Linked DNA regions of Macaca mulatta. The protein of the gene in region 4 purifies or fractionates together with the protein of the main gene of each other region. This does not show direct contact. Links are inferred from orthologs where the notes say so. Each region holds a gene or a part of one and is shown on either strand. Other genes may lie near its edges.

Region 1 (4,654 bases), on a different chromosome or scaffold from region 4:
GATGGGCAGATCTCTTGGGCTCAGGAGTTCAAGACCAGCCCGGGCAACATGGACAAACCCTATCATTGCAAAAAATACAAAAAATTATCTGGGCATGGTGGCATACGCCTGTAATTCCAGCTACTCAGGAGGCTGAGGCACGAGAATCACTTGAACTTTGGAGGCAAAGGTCAGGAGCAAGCTGAGATCATGCCACTGCACTCCAACCTGCGTGACAAAGTGAGACCTTGTCTCAAAAACAACAGAACAAAACAAAAACCCCAAAAACTAGCTGGGTGTGGTGGCACATGCCTATGGTCCCAGCTACTTGGGGGGCTGTGGGAGGATTGCTTGAGCCCAGGAGGTCGAGGCTGCAGTGAGCTGTGATTATGCCACTGCACCCCAGCCTGGGTGACAACAACAAAAAACACCAAACACCTATTATTTCAATTACTATTTCTCCCCAGCATTCTGCAATACACAAATTTTGCAGCATAATTTACTGGTGTCAATTTCACAATCACACAAGTCCTCAGAAGTCAAAATGCAACACCTTGACCTCAGTCTGATTCATCAGATTTCCGTTTTGCTAAAAACCATACTCACCACTCGGATTCTGTGTCCAATGGCCTTAGCAGGAAGATTGCTTCGGAATTTGGCACGAACCATGCCACTGTTTCCATGGGCCCGAGTTACCTTTCCCCAGATGACTCTGGTTTTATTTGGTTTGCCGCCTGGAGTCACTGTGTTGCTGATTTTAAAAAGGGAAAGAAGAGGAATACAGGCCAATATAGTTGGATACAAATTCAAGGTGATCTCTAGACGAGTGGCTCAACCCTGGTTACCCACTTCATCACCTGAGAAACTTTAAATGCCTGGAACACCATTCATTCAACAGATACTTATCGAGTACCTACTGTATGCCAGGCCCTTCTGTAAAACACAGCAGCTATAAAATAAAAATCCCTTTCAAAACCGATAACCAAGTATAAGGAAATACATACGTCAGATAACAGAGGCAATACTGAAAAAACAGCAAAAGGACAGGTGTGACGATGTTTGTGTGTACAGAAAGGAGGAATTACCTGCCATTTTAAATAGCCAAGGAAGGTCTCACTGAGGTGACAATGGAACAAAGACTGGAAAGGAGGGGGAGAAGCGCCAGGAAGTGATCAGGGGATGACTAGCGCAGGCACTGGGGCCAAGCAAGGTGTGTTCTGACCGGAGGAAAGACTGAAGACACCAAGGGGTTAATCCCTGCTGAGATAAGAGAATTATGGAGCCCTTAATGACGGGCTTTTACTGAATGAGAGAAACCACTGAGTTCCAGCAATGTACAAAGGATGCGACTTTATATATTTTTCCTTTAAAGACCACAGGGTTGTCTTGTCACCCAGGCTGCAGTATAGTGGCCGAATCATAGCTCACTGCAGCCTCTACCTACTGGCATCAAGCAATCCTCCCACCTGGGCCTCTCAAATGCTGGGACTACAGGTGTGAGTCACTGAACCTGACTTAAAATTTATTCTTGGCTGTAGAAGAAAAGGTGGGGCAATGATTAAAACCCTTTCCCAGAGATTTTAATTGGCTTGGAGTGGGTGAAGAAAATAGGATTTGCTCTTGTTGTCCAGACTAAAGTGCAATGTCAGGATAGCTCACGCCTGTAATCCCAGCACTTTGGGAGGCTAAAGTGGCTGGATCACAAGGTCAGGAGTTCAAGAACAGTCTGGCCAAAATGGTGAAACCCTGTTTCTACTAAATATACAAAAATTAGCCGGGTGTGGTGGCAGGCGCCTGTAATCCCAGCTACTCGGGAGGCTGAGGCAGGAGAATCGCGTGAACCTGGGAGGTGGAGGTTGTGGTGAGCCGATAAGCTGATATCATGCTACTGCACCTGGGTGACACAGCGAGACTCCGTCTCAAAAAACAAAACAAACAAAAAAAACGTATTTTTAAGGCATTAACAAAATGCATTAAGCGCCAAGTGTTCTAAAAATCCTTAAGTTCTGGCAAAAGGAGCCGAGAAAAAAAATTAGAAGCCTTAAAAGGATCACAATATAAGGAATTAGCTCCTTTATTGTTTTCAAGTGCAAAAGGTACCTAAATCCAACACCACCCTCAGAAGTAACGTCCTTCTAAGACTCCTCATTAAGTTCCTTAATGACACAAAATAGAAGCCATAGCAATACCAATCCAGCCTGGCCAACATGGGGAAACCCATTCTCTAGTAAAAATACAAAAATTAGCTGGGCATGGTGGTGCACCCCTGTAAGCCCAGCTACCCAGGAGGCTGAGGCAGGAGAATCGCTTGAGCCAGGAGGCAGAGGATGCAGTGAGCTGGGATCGCGCCACTGAGCTCCAACCTGGGCAACAGAGCGAGACTCTTGTCACAAAAACAAAAAAAAAAACAATACCAAGTACTTCAGCCAAATATTTTATTATCTCAATAGGATAATGAGGCCAGGCACAGTGGCTCAAGCCTGTAATCTCAGCACTTTGGGAGACCGAGGTGGGTGATCACCTGAAGTCAGGAGTTTGAGACCAGCCTGGCCAACATGGCAATACACTGTCTCTAATAATAACACAAAAAGTAGCCGGGCGTGGTGGCGGGCGCCTGTAATCCCAGCTACTCGGGAGGCTGAGGCAGGAGAATCGCTTGAACCCGGGAGGCGGAAGTTTCGGTGAGGGAGACCAAGTCACTGCACTCCAGCCTGGGCAACAGAGCAAGACTCCGTTATATAAAAAAGAAAATGAGGCAGATCCCAAAATAAAAACCCAAAACCTACCAGTGTCATAAACTTACTTCTTTGCTTTGTATACATAAGCGCATCTCTTGCCCAAATAGAATTCTGTTTCATCTCGGGCATAAACACCTTCAATTTTAAGAAGAGCTGTGTGCTCCCTTTGGTTCCGGAGACCCCGCTTATAGCCGGCAAAAATGGCCTTGGACCACAGCCTAAGACACAAAAGATACACAACATGAAACATAAGCTTCAGAAAACCAATTTGACTTGTAATAACCCCCACCCAAAAGTTACTCAGAGCAAACATCTTAAGTTTTTTCTTGCTAATTTTAAGCTCGCATTTAAACATTCACGTCTAACACACACACACAAAGAGCAACCATATTTAAAACGCGTACCTTCCAGACATAGTTCCTTTTAGAAGTCCCGCTCCCAGCAGGCCTTAAAACAAACAAAAAGATTCAGTTTGAAACCAAGCCACGCAAGTTTCTCACCTCGTCCCCTCTCGTTTAAGCCCCGAAGGCAAATTCCTTTTGGATCGGAGTTTCTCGTAGGAGTAAGGGGACAATTATGCCAGAACATCATCCACATGAAACGCAGGCTCCGGCGAGACAATCAAACCTCAGAGAACAGCTGGTATCTAAGCAAACTTCAGAATGAAGACAAAACTAAGGGACAAGAGCCACAAAAATAACTCTCAGAAAAGCCTGAGAAAATGCATGCCATTGTCAGGAGGCAACACTCAGGAAAAGGAATGAAGACTTCATCAGAGACTCACACCTAAGACTTATGCATCGGCTGGGTCTCGGAGAAAAGCTGAGGGAAGAGACTGGTCAGACAAGCAAAGGGAGGTTTGGACTGGGAGGAAACGGAAAAACCCTGGCCGAAAGGAAGCACTGCCTCATGGACAACTGCAGACGAACAAAATCATCATTTCACTCCGCTCAGGCCCAGGAATTTAACTCGGATAACCCGGGCAGCCGTTCTCCGGGCGTCAGAGGACCAAGCACCATCGGCCCAACATCTGCTCCATCCTGCTCTCCCTCTTCTTGAAACCCATAGAAATCAATGGCTGGCGGAGACTCCGATACACACCGGCGACTCGCCGCGGTATAGGAACAAACCTGCTCCGGTTATTTGCCCCCAAATTTCAGCAGCAGGCGCTTCACTCACCTCCACAGGAGCCAAGATGGCGGGAAGAGAAAGACGAGGCCCCGCCGCGTGGCCTTGTGGGATTAAACATCTCTCGACCCCGCCCTCAATTTAGGCATCTTCTCCAAACGCCAGAAAAGCAATCCTCGGAAATCGCCTTCGCGCTGAAATAAGCCACATTCAAGAGCACTCTTACAATTATTTTCCTAAGTCCTTTCATCTTGGTAGGCTGCAAAATGTATTACTTGGGAACAGGGGAAGGCAAAATGGTAGCCAGCTAAATCCGCCAAAGCTGTGCGTTGCCATAGAAACAGCTTAGTTTACTTCCCGCGTCACCGGACGCTGTTGATGGAAAGGCGCACCGTGAGTGGAGGACGTTCCCACTGCCTGAAGAATGATTGTAAGATTGATTTGCCAACAGGCGGGTGCATATCCCTCGATCCACAAGCAATAGACAGAACGGAAATTCTAGGTTAGGATTCTGGGATCCTAACCTAGCATGAAAGAGAAAGGCCGGGAGCACGAAGGCAGCAGGACCTCTTCCTTCTCTTTTTTATTTTTCTATGCTTTTTTTCTGCCCTCTACTTATCTATCTCTTTCAAGAAACGAGACTGGACACGGTGGCTCACGCCTGTAAGCCCAGTTCTTTGGGAAACCGAGGCGGGAGGATCGCTTGAGGCTAGGAGTTCGAGACCAGCCTGGGCAATATAGTGAGACCACCTTCCCCCATCTCTACAAAAGAAAAAAAAAAAAAAGAATGAAATGACTTAAGTTCTTGC
Region 2 (3,619 bases), on a different chromosome or scaffold from region 4:
CATCTCACCTACTTCGAAAACTTGGCAGGAGAGCCAAAAACATTGTGAAACTCTGTCTTCCAAGCTGGCCACATTCAGTGAAATTTATCAACAATCAGTAAGCATATCCTTACTCACAGACTATGGTGGGTACTATTCGGTAAAGGGACATATGTCATCAAGTCAGGAATGGCAGTGCATACATGGCTGGGGTGGCCATTCCTTTTCCGTGGAAGAAACTGAGAATCACAATACTCTTGAACTCTGAGCTTGGAAACAACCTCTGCATCTTCTCAGCACAGTGGTCCAGGCAGCCCCTACTAACTGATTAGAGTTGGCATGAGAGTAGAAACTTAGGAACCATATCTACATTTTTTTTTTTTTTTTTTTTTTGAGGCAGAGTCTCACTCTGTCACCCAGGCTGGAGTGCAATTCCATAATCTCAGCTCACTGCAACCTCTGCCTCCTGGGTTCAAGCAATTCTCCTGTCTCAGTTTCCCGAGTAGCTGGGACTACAGTCACACACCACCACGCCCAGCTAATTTTTGTATTTTTAATAGAGACGGGGTTTCACCATATTGGTCAGGCTGGTCTCTAATTCCTGACCTCAGGTGATTCACCTGCCTCAGCCTCCCAAAGTGCGGGATTACAGGTGTGAGCCACCGCACCTGGCCTCTACTTTAATCTGTATCTCATCTCAGCTTGCTAGTCAGCTCCCTGGGCTGCTTGACAGGTTCCTTGACTCTTGTGGCCTCTCAGGCAGAGAGGTTCCACACCTGGTGGGCTGGATTGTAGGGATTAGTTCCTTGGGGCCAGAACAGCACACACAATGACTCCCCTCCAAAGGCTGGCAGAGATTCTTACTCAGCTGGAAAGCAAATTGAGCACTGAGCCTGCATCTGCAGGGTGGCACTTGGTGGATTCAGGGACCAGTTACCAAAGAGCTGTCATATATACAGCCCCCTTGCCGAAGCTGAGGCCTCCCTAGGGCATGCATTTTCTTCCGTATTTCTCATCACTCTCCACATATCTCTGGTCTCTCTGAATCTCTCCTTAGTATTACTTCATCTTAAATTCGCTGTTGCCAAATGGTGGTTCAGGGAATTCATACTGGACTGGCCTCAGCTCTAACAAGGATGAGAAGTTTACTGATGATACACAATACATTAGGTAAGTTTGTTAGGACTCTGGGTATTTTCAACTCCATAATCCCCTCCATAAAGACATGGTAATCAGATTTCCTCTCCACCTGCTTCCCTCAGAACTCTCCCATAAATCAACACTGTAATTGCCTATTTGTCTGTTTCCTCTATTTGATTAATAACTTCTTAAGGCAATCTTATTCTCCATTATATTTCCACCTAGAAGTCCCTGGCACATGCTTTTTTGTTTCAGTAACTACTAGGTTGGGACCTATGCTAGCTTTTAGGGGGAGACATTAAGGATTTAGTTAAGGCTCCACAGCTGATGACAGCAGCATTTCTCCATCCTTTGACAAGGCCACCCAAACTGAGGTTGTACTTTCTCAGTAGCAGCCACTCGGGGCACTAGAGCTACCTCAGTGAAGTAAGCAAGGGAGCAGTGGGGGTACCATCAAAGCTCCACTTCACTGTGATCAAGGGAGCAGTGGGGTACCATTGAGGATCAACCCTAGGGACCCTGAAACAGGGTGGCAGCCTCCTTATGTTCCCTAATTGGCCTTCCCATCTTTTTTTTGAGACAGAGTCTCGCTCTGTTGCCTAGGCCGGAGTACAGTTGTGCAATCTTGGCTCACTGCAAGCTCCGCCTCCTGGGTTCACACCATTCCCCTGCCTCAGCCTCCCCATGCCTGGCTAATTTTTTGTATTTTTAGTAGAGATGGGGTTTCACCGTGTTAGCCAGGATGGTCTCGATCTCCTGACCTCGTGACCCGCCCGCCTCAGCCTCCCACAAGTGCTGGGATTACAGGCATGAGCCACCGCGCCTGGCCTGCATCTTTATGACCTGGAGTGATTTTTCCCTCTGCTGGTTCTAAAGCCTGTTTTAGTTGAACTCCAGACATCTGTCCTGAACCATGCCCAGATGTGGCCTTAGGCAGGCAAAGCGACTTAGGACTTAGGTTTTATGCAGGGAAAGGGGAGAGAAGGGAGGGTAGGATAGGAGGGGTCCAGAGCTTATCCCAGCTCTACCTTATTACTTTTTAGGGTTTATGTTCAAAGTTCAAAATGTACCAAGGTACAAAAAGGTTGGTCACGGTATTGGACAATGGAGAAAGAGGCATGTGGAAGTCCTCTTCCCTTCATCTGTGAGATGACAGCTTTCAGATTTCCAGATTAGGACAACCCTTTACACTGAACTGGTAAGAGTGAGGGATGGGGCCAAGGCATGGGGAGTCCAGGGGCAGAGGGACTCAGAGCAGGGACCCAGGGGCCCGAGGGAAAACTTGTACCTGGGATGAAAGTTCCTCCACAGCCTCCAGTTGCTTGGTCTGCTTATGTTAGGATGGGGTGGGCAGGGAGAGGGACAGGAAAGGCCTAGAACTTATGGGAGGCTGGTGATGTGGCTGTCGGGGTGACGGGGTGAGCGGGATGAGGGTTCAGTTAAGTCAACCATGGAGCTCACCGATACTTTACTCTTCCAGACACTCATGCCAACAAGAAACTGTGCCCCTCCTTCCTAACCTGAGGCCTGCGGGTCCTCAGACCATGTCCTCCCTGTGTTCCCTCATTCTGGGCAGTGTCCAGCCACCAGCTGATCCACACCTGACACTTCCAGCCAGCCTGCTGCCTGCTCCCTCTTCCTGAAACTGGACTGTTCTTGGGAAAAGGGTGAAGCCACCTCTAGAAGGGACTTTGGCCTCCCTGCAAGAACTTCCCATGGTAGAATGGGGCGGGGGAGGAGGGCGCATGGGTTGAGTGGATAGGGGCGGCCCGGAGCCAGCCAGGCAGTTTTATTGAAATCTTTTTAAATAATTGCACGTGTTAGTCTCATGTGTCAGCAATGCTGTGTCTGGTTCAGTGATCCCCATGGGAACACGAGCCGGGGATTGAACTGGAAGTGCTCTGTCCCTCGAGTCCATGCTGGGGCTCCCCTACACAGGGAGAAGAGCCGGTCAGCCCATCTGGAACTGGCACTGTCCAGCAAGTGTGCTCTGTTCTTACAGGGTGTCCTGAAGGCCAAAGTTGGAGGCCTGAGACCACAGGCTCCAATGCTAAGAGCGTGCCCCGGGCAGTTGCAGGCTGGGTGTGGGTGGCTTGGCATGGTGCCCTCGGTGGCAGAGGAGACTGCCCGCCTCACAGTTCAGGTTGCGGTAGCGGGCAACAGCTGGTGTGGGGCGGGGGCACATGGACAGGAAGCCAAAGCTGAAGGGGCCGAGGCAGCAGCCAGGACAGGGCAGCCCCTCATCAGGCTCCCGGGGAGCTGAAGGGGGTGGCGAGGGTTCTGTCCGCTCCAGGGCTGCCGCCCGGGGCAGGCTATGCTGGGCCCGGTTCCAGGGCTCCCCAGCCCAGCCTTGTGGGGAGTTCACCACCACAGCTGGGGGATTGTTATTGAGGACAGGTCCTGATCTAGGGGACCAGGGTTGGGTGGCCGAGGAACAGGTGCTGATGAAGTTGTCTGTGGCCACAGCCAGAGGCAGCTGGGGCGCTGGTCCTGGAGGTTC
Region 3 (4,871 bases), on a different chromosome or scaffold from region 4:
ACCACAGTGATCAGAAAGCATTACTGAGGGGGCACGAGAGCCTTCTTTTACAAATTATTCTTTATTTTAAAATTTGTTTAATTTTTAATTCTTTTTAGAGATAGGGGTCTTGCTAAGTTGCCCAAGCTGGCTTCAAACTCTTGACCTCAAGTGATCCTCCCACCTCAGCCTCACAAAGTGCTGACATTTCAGGCATGAGCCATTGCACCCAGCTGAGAGCTTTCCAAAAACTAAAGAATTCTCTCTGAAGATAGTGGGAGAAATACAGAGATACACAAAGACAGCAGGATGCAATGAGAGAAGCGTATGTATATATGGGAAACATATATATTTGTATGTACATCTATCTATACACACTGCCACCCCCACCCTACCCTATGTTGACGCCTCTCTGCCCGGGTCTTTTCTCCTCCTCCAGTGCCCACTGACATCCCAGAACCCCAGTACTGGCCCAGGCCACAGTCCTTACCCAGGAGCAGGAGCCAGGGGCCGAGGAGATGCATGGTGTCGTGTCTGGGTGGAAGCCTGAGCAGGGGAGAGTTTGTCTTTGAGCCATCTGGCCACTGACTTCTTCCACATGGCTTTTCTTGCTCACCCACTGAGCTCCAACCCTTCCCCTAGATCTAGGAGGACTGGGTCTGGTTGCATTATGGGGATGTGGCATTTGAGATGCTCACAGAGTTCTTTCTTTTTTTTTGAGACAGAGTCTTGCTCTGTCTCCCAGGCTAGAGTGCAGTGGTGCAATCTCCGCTCACTGCAACCTCTGCTTCCCAGGCTCAAGCACTTCTCTGGCCTCAGCCCCCCAAGTAGCTGGGTAAAGGCAGGTGTCACCACGCCTGGCTGATTTTTGTATTTTCAGTAGAGATGGGGCTTCACGATGTTGGCCAGGCTGATCTTGAACTCCTGACCTCAGGTGATCTGCCAGCCTCGGCCTCCCAAAGTGCTGGGACTACAGGGGTGAGCCACCACTCCTGGCCGGGAGTTTTTTCTAGGTATGCTGTGCCTCTCCTTCAAACTGAGAGCCCTGTGAGGGCAGCTTCTCTCTCTTCCCAGAACTCCTTCCTTTCTTCCTTCCTTCCTCCCTTGCTTCCTTTTTTCCATCCATCCATTCATCCATCTCTAATTTTACAAACTTCCTGCCTGGCTTGCAGACTTTGAGTGGCACCAGACCACTGAGTGCCTTGAATGCCAGGCCCCGGATAACATGGAGCTCTCTCTGGTGCTACTCATCACGGATTATACTCAGGGACAGACATGGTCAAAACTTGGTTTGAAAGACCAGGCAAAAAGGAATTTTAAAACCAGTAACAAAGTATGGGTGAGCCAGGTGCAGTGGCTAACACCTGTAATCCCAATACTTTGGGATGCCAAGGCAGGCAGATCACTTGAGGTCAGGAGTTCAAGACCAGCCTGGCCAACATGGCAAAACCCCATCTTACTAAAAATGCAAAAAATTAGCTGGGCGTGGTGGCGCACACCTGTAATCCCAGCTACTCGGGAGGCTGAGGCAGGATAGTTGTTTGAACCCGGGAAGTGGAGGTTGCAGTGAGCCAAGATCGTGCTACTGCACTCCAGCCTGGGTGACAGACCCAGATCCTGTCTCAGAACAAAAACAAAACAAAAAATAAAGTGTGACACCAGGAGAGCATTTTGAGGGGTCTGGAAGGTCTCTGGAGAATGCCCCACAGGCCAGGTAGGAAACGTAAATCAACCAAGTGGGGACAAAGGTTGTACCTCCTCTAAAGGTGGTAGCTGCCTCAGTTCTAGTCAGTTATTGCCAGACAGAACCTGAGCTCAGCACTGTCTGATCTTCCACTGTAAGAGAAGTAAGAAGCTAAACTTCTAAGTGGAGTGACCTACTTAAAAAGAAAAATAGACCAAGGAGAAGTGGCCAATGTGGGAGGATTACTTGAGGTCAGGAGTTTGAGACCAGCCTGGCCAACATAACAAGACCACGTCTCTACAAAAAAAGTTTAAAAATTAGCCAGGCATGGTGGCGCACACCTGTGGTCTCAGTTAATTAGGAGGCTGAGGTGGGAGGATCAGTTGAGCCCAGGAGGTCAAGCCTGCAGTGAATGGTGATCTCCCCACTGCACTCCAGCCTGGGCAATAGGGCGAGACCCTGTCTTGAAAAAATAAAAAATAGGCTGGGTGCGGTGGCTCACGCCTGTAATCCCAGCACTTTGGGAGGCCGAGACAGGCAGATCACGAGGTCAGGTGATCCTGACCATCCTGACTAACACGGTGAAACCCCGTCTCTACTAAAAATACAAAAATTAGCCGGGCGAGGTGGCGGGCGCCTGTAGTCCCAGCTACATGGGAGGCTGAGCCAGGAGAATGGCGTAAACCTGGGAGGTGGAGCTTTCAGTGAGTGGAGATCGCGCCACTGCACTCCAGCCTGGGCGACAGAGCGAGACTCCGTCTCAAAAAACAAAAAAAAAAAAAGAAAAGAAAAAAGAAAAAATACACAAACTAAAAATATGCAGAGCTGGTCAAACAAAACCTATCTGTGGGTTAGGTTCTGTAATTGCTGCCCGTCTTTCTCTCTTTCTCTGCAATGAGCTTATCCTCCACCATCCCTGACCTCTGCATAGAGTTATATTTACATAGAGTTAAATTTAAGTCCCAATTTACATGATCGTGGCCCTCCGTGCTGGCCCCCGGGGACCCCGAAGGATGTGACAGCAGAGTGTGTCTCCGGTCTCAGCACCAACCCAAGTCCCTCCCACTCACCTGCCAACATTTCCCACGCATCAGTGTTCCTCTCTCTCTCTGTGTTTATCTCCTCGGGCCACACGGCTCATGCCGAGGGCTGCCAGGTGTCAGTTCATGGGTGTGGGGAAAGCTAAGCTGCTTGTGGACAGCAGGAAGGGGGTCTCGCTTGACCTGAGCATGAATTTGGGGTGCAGGGTCTGAAGCTGAGGCAGATTCCCCAGGCAGAGTTGACATGAGCCCTGCAAGTGCTCATAATGTCACATGCAAAAAACGTCTTCAAGGTCACGTACACTTGAGAAAGGCAGGGTTAAAGAGTTAAGTAAAATTATTATTATTATTATTATTTTTTGAGACAGAGTCTCATTCTTCTGTCACCCAGGCTGGAGTGCAGTGGTGTGATCTCAGTTCACTGCATCCTCTGCCTCTAGGGTTCAAGTGATTCTCCTGCCTCAGCCTCCTGAGTAGCTGGGACTACAGGCGTGCGCCACCACACCTGTCTGATGTATTTGTTTGTTTGTCTGTTTGTTTTAGTAGAGATGGGGTTTCACCATGTTGGCCAGGCTGGTTTCAAGCTCCTGACCTCAGGTGATCCCCCCAACTTGACCTCCCAAAGTGCTGAGATTACAGGTGTGAGCCACCGCACCTGGCTTAAGTAAGATTCTTTACTGCAGGGCTTTAAAAACGTTTTAGGAAACTCTATCTACACCATTAATCTCTAGATATGGAGATTAGAGTATAGTATAATACATTGTCCATACTTCTTTGACCATGGGATCTATTTTACATGTTCCATAAAAAACTTTGCAGGGTTGCAGGACCAGTGTTCTCTGAAATCCCCTTAAGGTTACCTAAGGGGTAACAAGGGCTGTGGGACGGAATAGACTCTTTTCCTGCAGCCAACACTTGCCTCCAGGAGCCGGGCCATCGTCCCTCCTCTGCCGGCACCCTCCAGCCACAGCCTGCTCTGGGCCGGGCTGGAGCATCCCAGCATGAGTGGGATATGAGTGTCTCCAGAGCAGGGCTGTGTGCTGCCTCAAGGAGCTCCAGGAGTCTCTGGAGCACAGGAGTAGGGCCCCAGGCCCGGGAATTGGAAGGCTGAGGGTGGGGTGGAGGTTAGGGACAGCAGTTATTATGCACAGAGGCTCAGGACAGGGCCATGCTGTCCAGACCTCCTCAGTCCAGGCCTGTTGAGGGCCTTGCAGAACCTTGGGGCCGGCCTCCCTGGCTCCTTCTTCCCTCCTAGGCATCCAGTAACCTACCCTACTCTCAGAAGACTCAACAGGCCTGACAAGGAGGATGCTCAAGACAGGGGTCTGTCTACAACCTGTTGTAACACAGGTAAGAGAGAGCCAGGGAGGTCCCCACTGTATTCCCAGCTCTGGGAGGTATGCCTGGCCTATAACTGCTGTTCCATAATAATTTGCTTGTTGAATGCAAAATAAAAGCAAAATGGTTTTTACCTCTTTCCGCGTGTCTTCCCTCTTCAGGGACCCTGGCAGCATCTGAGAGCAAAAGGAGAAGTACAGTAAAGTCTCTGGTGACAGAGGTTTCCCCTCCATGGCCACACCCCCTGCTTCTCTATGGCTCTGAGGGGGACCAAGTAGCATCATGATCTGGGGAGTGGGGAAAAGAGACGAATGAGGGGGATGCGGGCTCGGAGTCAGATCGGAAGACTCGAGTATGTATGGGCAGTTCTTCCTTTCAGTGTGTGGGTTTGCAATATCAGATCAGTTTCAGAATGGGCTCCTTCACAACTCCCCCTCTACCCAGCTCTCAGGAAATGCGAATGACTCAAGTCAAGCAGGAGAACTGGAGCCCGCTGAAAAAGGCACAGGCCCACCTGAAAGTATTTGTAGTTTAGTGACACCATCCAGTTATTACCATTTCCACTCCTTTCATCAGAGGCATAAATGGTGGGGAATCTGACCACCTACACTGAAGCCCCCAAAGGTTGAGGGAGGAGCACATAGATATTGAGGAGGAAAAAGATATCTTGGCTGGGAGCAGTGGCTCATGCCTGGAATCCCAACACTTTGGGAGGCTGAGGTGATGGATCGCTTGAGGTCAGGAGTTCGAGACCAGCCTGGCCAACATGGTGAAATCCCGTACCTACTAAAAATACAAAAAATTAGCTGAGCGTGTTGGCAGGCGCCTGT
Region 4 (4,639 bases):
AGAGGGCGCCGGATCTGTGGGGCCCTGAGTGGTTGTCCCCTTTCTCGCCACACGGCGACAGTGTTGGCACTCAGAGCTCAGGGTCTACCCTGAGCTTGTGCCTCCGAGTTGCATTTTGTACAGGAGAGGTTCCGTATCCCTTATCCGAAATACTTGGGACCAGAAGTGTTTTGGATTTTTTCAGATTTCGGAATATTTACGTATACATGGATATCTTGGGGGATGGGACTCAAATCTGAACACGAAATTGTTTTGTTTCGTATACATACAGCTTAAGCACATAGCCTGAAGGTAATTTTATATAATAGTCTGAATAATCTTGTGCATAAGACAAAGTTTTGACTGCGTTTTGACTACAGTCCCCCCACCCCCACCCCCCACCATGAAGTCAGGTGTGGAATTTTCCATTTTTGGCTTCACACTGGCACTCAAATAATTTCAGATTTTGGGTTTTCTAATTAAGGATGGTCAACCTGTACTGTGAATCACATTATTATTACATTTTGTGATGAGGGAGCAAACGCTAATGGTGCAGACTTTTAGTAGTAGCAGAGCTGGACGTCAACGCTGTTGTGCCATCTTTTAGTGAGAGGTCTGCATTACAGCAGTGGCTGCAGTCTCTCCAGGGTGTTTCAGCTAATTTCTGTTTGGGGGTTGGTGGTTAAATTTTTGGTGAGATCCTGGTGTTCCCCAAAGGTGCTGACTGATTCAGCTCTGCTGCCCCGTAGCCTTCCTGCGTTCCAGCTACAGACCCGGGGTCTCGTGTTCATTCATGGGGTTCCAGTGACTAAACTGCTAAAAGGGTTCACCTGAGAGCAAGAAGCACACTGCCTTGGGATATTTTCATTCACTGCATCCCATCTAGTTGTGCCCAGTGTAGACCAAGAAGTTGATCCAAACCACATAGGACAGAGGCCTGCATGCGTCCTGTTTTGCAAACAGCTGCCCAGCCAGTGGGGAAGCAGTTCATGCTTAAACTACCACCCCCTCCAGCTGTCTTACGCAGCTGGTCCTTGGAAGAAGCGTTGACCCTCCACTCCCTCTTGCAGGTGTCCTTAAATTTGCTCGCTTGGTCAAGTCCTATGAAGCCCAGGATCCTGAGATCGCCAGCCTGTCAGGCAAGCTGAAGGCGCTGTTCCTGCCGCCCATGACCCTGCCACCCCACGGGCCTGCTGCTGGTGGCAGCGTGGCTGCCTCCTGAGAGTTGGCCCTCCCTGTGCCCCTGCCAGGGAAGAAAAGGCCTTGATGTTCCAGACGATAATAAACGTGCCTGTGACTTAGCCTTGGTGTCAGTCTTTTGCAGACTTGACAACCCCCATCTCACCTTCCCAGATTCCCTCTGCCTTTCCAGGCCCCATCCCCATGTACAGCTCCTTCCTATACTCCTGGCTGGGCCTAACCCTGCTCCAGTGAGGGCCTGAGGCTCCTCCCCTTCCCCCAGGGCAGGGTGAGAGGCTGGACTGGGCCCCTCGACGCTCTGGGTGGGTGGGCGGGCCTGCACTGGGGACACCTCCTTCTCTGAGGAATTGGGCTGTTAGGACTTTCCCTTAGGCCCTTTGGTTTCCACCTACTGAGAGCTTTCCCCCATTGGTTGCTCTTCCCTCAGCCAGGGTTACTTCCTGGTCTTTGCTCCTACCCAGCGTCCCGCTGCTCTGTCAGCTTGAGCTCCAGGTGGAGCTCCAGGTGGCTCCTCCTCTCCCGAGGGAAGGGGGCCCTGGCCCAGCGGGCAGGCCTGCTGTACTCCCGCACTGGGGCTGCAGGGAAGCTGGCCACTGTGGGCGGTCTCAGGCCAGCCCCGCCCCACCTGTCCTTTTCCCGGAGACTATTAGTCCAGGGTTTGTCCCTGCGGTGCCATTGGCCTGGCAGGCTGGATCGAGGAGGAAGTGGCTGATTTCTGAGTGGTTCTTCCTCTCCTGGCTTGGGCCGCTGTGCACAGCTGTGCCCCTGGCTCAGCCCCGCCCCCTGTGGCCCTCCGCTGTGACTTCCCCATCCCTACAGAGAGATGCTGTCCTGTGGGTAAGTCCCAGGCACCACCTGGGTCCTAGTCTCCTGTTAGTTTTGGAGGGAGGGAGGGCCTTGTTGATGCTCACTCCATCATGTATGTGAGCGTGAGTGCGATCTGCCGCTGCCCTGCCATGCGCCTGCTTCCGATCCCTATAAACCTTCCCCTTCCCGCAAAGTGTGAGGACCCCCAGGCTCACTCATGCCCCTCTGCCCCATCTTTAACATTTTCCGCCTGACAAGTGTGTATCTGTTCTCTCCATTGCATTTCTACTTCCAGCCTCTGGGCTCCTGCTTCTGTCTCCTGCTTAGGACCTGTCCCCCGTGGGTAGCTCACAACACCTGAAACAGCAATCAGAGGCCACCCGCGAAGGCCCTCCCATGCCCAGCCAACTTCCCCGCTCTTCCCAACATCTGACTTTGGTCCCATCTTCCTTCCGTTTCCTTTCACTTCCCGTTCCCCTGCATCATTCATTCAACAGGTACGTGTTGAGCGTCTGTTACACACCAGGTGTTGTTTAAGATGCTGGTAATACTGGAGTGAACAAGACAGACATGGTCCCTGCTCTCACGGAGCTTACATTCCAGTGGGAGGTTACAGACTGAACAAAAAACCCAATAAATTGGATCATTGCAGATTCTCAGAAGTGTTATGCAGTAAATGAAACAGCCTCGGCTGGGTGTAGTGGTTCACGCCTGTGATCCCAGCACATTGGGAGGCTGAGGCGAGACGATTGCTTGAGCCCAGGAGTTTGAGACCAGCCTGGCCATATAGTGAGACCCTGTCTCTACAAAAAATAAGAAATTAGCTGGGTATAGTGGAATGCGTCTGTGGTTCCAGCTATGAGCCTGGGAGGTCAAGGCTGCAGTGAGTAGTGATTGCACCACTGCACACCAGCCTGGGCGACAGAGCGAGACCTTGTCTCAAAGAAAAAAAAAGAAAATGAACCAGCTTCATGTGCTAGCAAGTGACTGGGTGTGCAGGTGACATTACTAGCTGGAGGGATCGGGGAGGCCTTCCCGAGGAGGTGACATTTGAGCTGAGACCTGCTTGAGGAGGAAGAGGAGCCAGCCATGTGATGTGGTGATCAAGGCCTGGGCAGAGGAGCTTCCCTGGGCAGAGGAGATGGTGAGCACAAAGCCCTAATGTGGGAACAAACAAAAAAAGGACCGTGTGTCCGTGGCAGAGGGCCCTCGTGGAGCAGAGGCAGGGCCACGGCAGGTTAGACCTTGTTGGATCTGGGATGTTGAAAGTGAAAACCTGGCCAGATGAGGTGGTGCATGCCTGTGATCCCAGCACTTTGGGAGGCCGAGATGGGAGGATCGCTTGAGCTCAGGAGTTTAAAACAAGCCTGGGCAACATAGAGAGATTCCATCTCTATTAAAAAAAAAAAAAAAAAATACTGGGTGTGATGGCCCAAGCATGTAGTAGTCCCAGCAGTTTGGGAGACTGAGGTGGGAGGATCACTTGAGCCTAGGAGTTCAAGACCACGCCGGGCAACATACAGAGAGACCCCATCTCAACTATGACTACTACTACTAAATAGCTGGACATAGTGGCACGCACCTGTGGTCTCAGTTACTTGGGAGGCTGAGGCAGGAGGATCACCTGAGCCAAGGAGGTTGAGACTGCAGTGAGTTGTGATTGTGACACTGCACTTTTCAGCCTGGGTGACAAAGCAAGATTCTGTGTCATAAAAAGAGAGAGAGAGAGAGAGGAAGGAAGGAAGGAAGAAAGGAAGGAGAGGAAGAAAGAAAAAAAAAGAGAAAGAAGGAAGAAAAGGAAAGCGAGAAAGAGGAAAGAAGAAAAAAAATAAAGAGAAAAAGAAAAAGTGACAACTGGCCAAAAGAAAGAAGAAAGAAAAAGTGACAACTGGCTGGGCGCGGTGGCTCACGCCTGTAATCCCAGCACTTTGGGAGGAGTTCGAGACCAGCCTGGCCGACATAGTGAAACCCTGTCTCAACTAAAGATACAAAAAAAGAAAAGAAAAGAAAAGAAAAAAAATTAGGCGGGCACAGTAGGGCGCACCTGTAGTCCCAGCTACTAGGGAGGCTGAGGCAGGAGAATTGCTCGAACCTGGGAGGCAGAGGTTGCAGTGAGCCAAGTCTGCGCCACTGTACTCCAGCCTGGGCGACAGGGAGAGACTCCATCCCCAAAAAAAATACAAAAAAGAAAAAGTGACAACCTGATTACAGAGTACTGGTGAGTTTGTGGGTGGGTGGCTCCCCAGCCCTGCTGATTCTTGCTTCTCACACTCACATCTGCTCCTGCCCCAGTGCACGTCTTGTCACTGTCGGCCCCACCGATGGGGTTCCAACTGAGTCTTCTGGTGCTTGATCCTTTCCGTGGTCATTTTCCTGCCAGGTAGCTTGGCCAGGCCTCCCCTGGTGCAGATTCCATCCTTGGTTTCTCAGCCTGGCCTTGAATGACCCTCTACAGCAGGGTCCCAACCTCTCAGAGCAGCTTTGCTTCAGCCACACAGCTTGCTCACAGCCAGGCACTGCACATGTGGACTCTGTGCGTGCCACCCCTTTGCCCTGATGCATGTTGCCTCTGGGGGAGCACTTCTTCCTCCACCTTCCATCATGGGCTGTGGTGGTGCCTATCCCATCTGACCCTGACGCTGTCTGCTGCGGT

The links.
Region 1: the proteins of PTPN6 (region 4) and RPL35A purify together in Homo sapiens (affinity purification with mass spectrometry; 3 studies listed by BioGRID and IntAct, with this or other methods). This does not show direct contact. The link is inferred for Macaca mulatta from reciprocal best matches to the Homo sapiens genes PTPN6 and RPL35A.
Region 2: the proteins of PTPN6 (region 4) and CD72 purify together in Homo sapiens (affinity purification with western blotting; 3 studies listed by BioGRID). This does not show direct contact. The link is inferred for Macaca mulatta from reciprocal best matches to the Homo sapiens genes PTPN6 and CD72.
Region 3: the proteins of PTPN6 (region 4) and CD22 purify together in Homo sapiens (affinity purification with western blotting; 5 studies listed by BioGRID and IntAct, with this or other methods). This does not show direct contact. The link is inferred for Macaca mulatta from reciprocal best matches to the Homo sapiens genes PTPN6 and CD22.

The regions. Positions count from the first base shown.
Region 1 is NC_133407.1:982,032-986,685, forward strand, and holds the start of RPL35A (60S ribosomal protein L35a), read right to left. Parts: upstream 3,153-4,654; 5' UTR 3,133-3,152; coding exon 3,122-3,132; intron 2,936-3,121; coding exon 2,783-2,935; intron 731-2,782; coding exon 586-730; intron 1-585.
Region 2 is NC_133420.1:64,085,247-64,088,865, forward strand, and holds the end of CD72 (B-cell differentiation antigen CD72), read left to right. Parts: coding exon 1-97; intron 98-1,036; coding exon 1,037-1,149; intron 1,150-2,162; coding exon 2,163-2,295; 3' UTR 2,296-2,317; intron 2,318-2,599; exon of another isoform or gene 2,600-2,695; 3' UTR 2,696-2,927; downstream 2,928-3,619. Other genes in the region: TESK1 (dual specificity testis-specific protein kinase 1), read right to left, coding at 3,170-3,619. UniProt on the Homo sapiens protein: Co-receptor of B cell receptor (BCR) that plays both positive and negative roles on B-cell functions. Recognizes the Sm/ribonucleoprotein (RNP) self-antigen ligand, and coligation of CD72 and BCR inhibits BCR signaling.
Region 3 is NC_133424.1:46,607,122-46,611,992, reverse strand, and holds the start of CD22 (B-cell receptor CD22), read right to left. Parts: upstream 3,009-4,871; 5' UTR 2,744-3,008; coding exon 2,734-2,743; intron 557-2,733; coding exon 470-556; intron 24-469; exon of another isoform or gene 1-23. UniProt on the Homo sapiens protein: Most highly expressed siglec (sialic acid-binding immunoglobulin-like lectin) on B-cells that plays a role in various aspects of B-cell biology including differentiation, antigen presentation, and trafficking to bone marrow.
Region 4 is NC_133416.1:7,915,630-7,920,268, forward strand, and holds the start of PTPN6 (tyrosine-protein phosphatase non-receptor type 6), read left to right. Parts: upstream 1-1,621; 5' UTR 1,622-2,002; coding exon of another isoform or gene 2,003-2,016; intron 2,017-2,281; 5' UTR 2,282-2,382; coding exon 2,383-2,483; intron 2,484-4,639. Other genes in the region: C11H12orf57 (protein C10), read left to right, coding at 1,050-1,201. UniProt on the Homo sapiens protein: Tyrosine phosphatase enzyme that plays important roles in controlling immune signaling pathways and fundamental physiological processes such as hematopoiesis.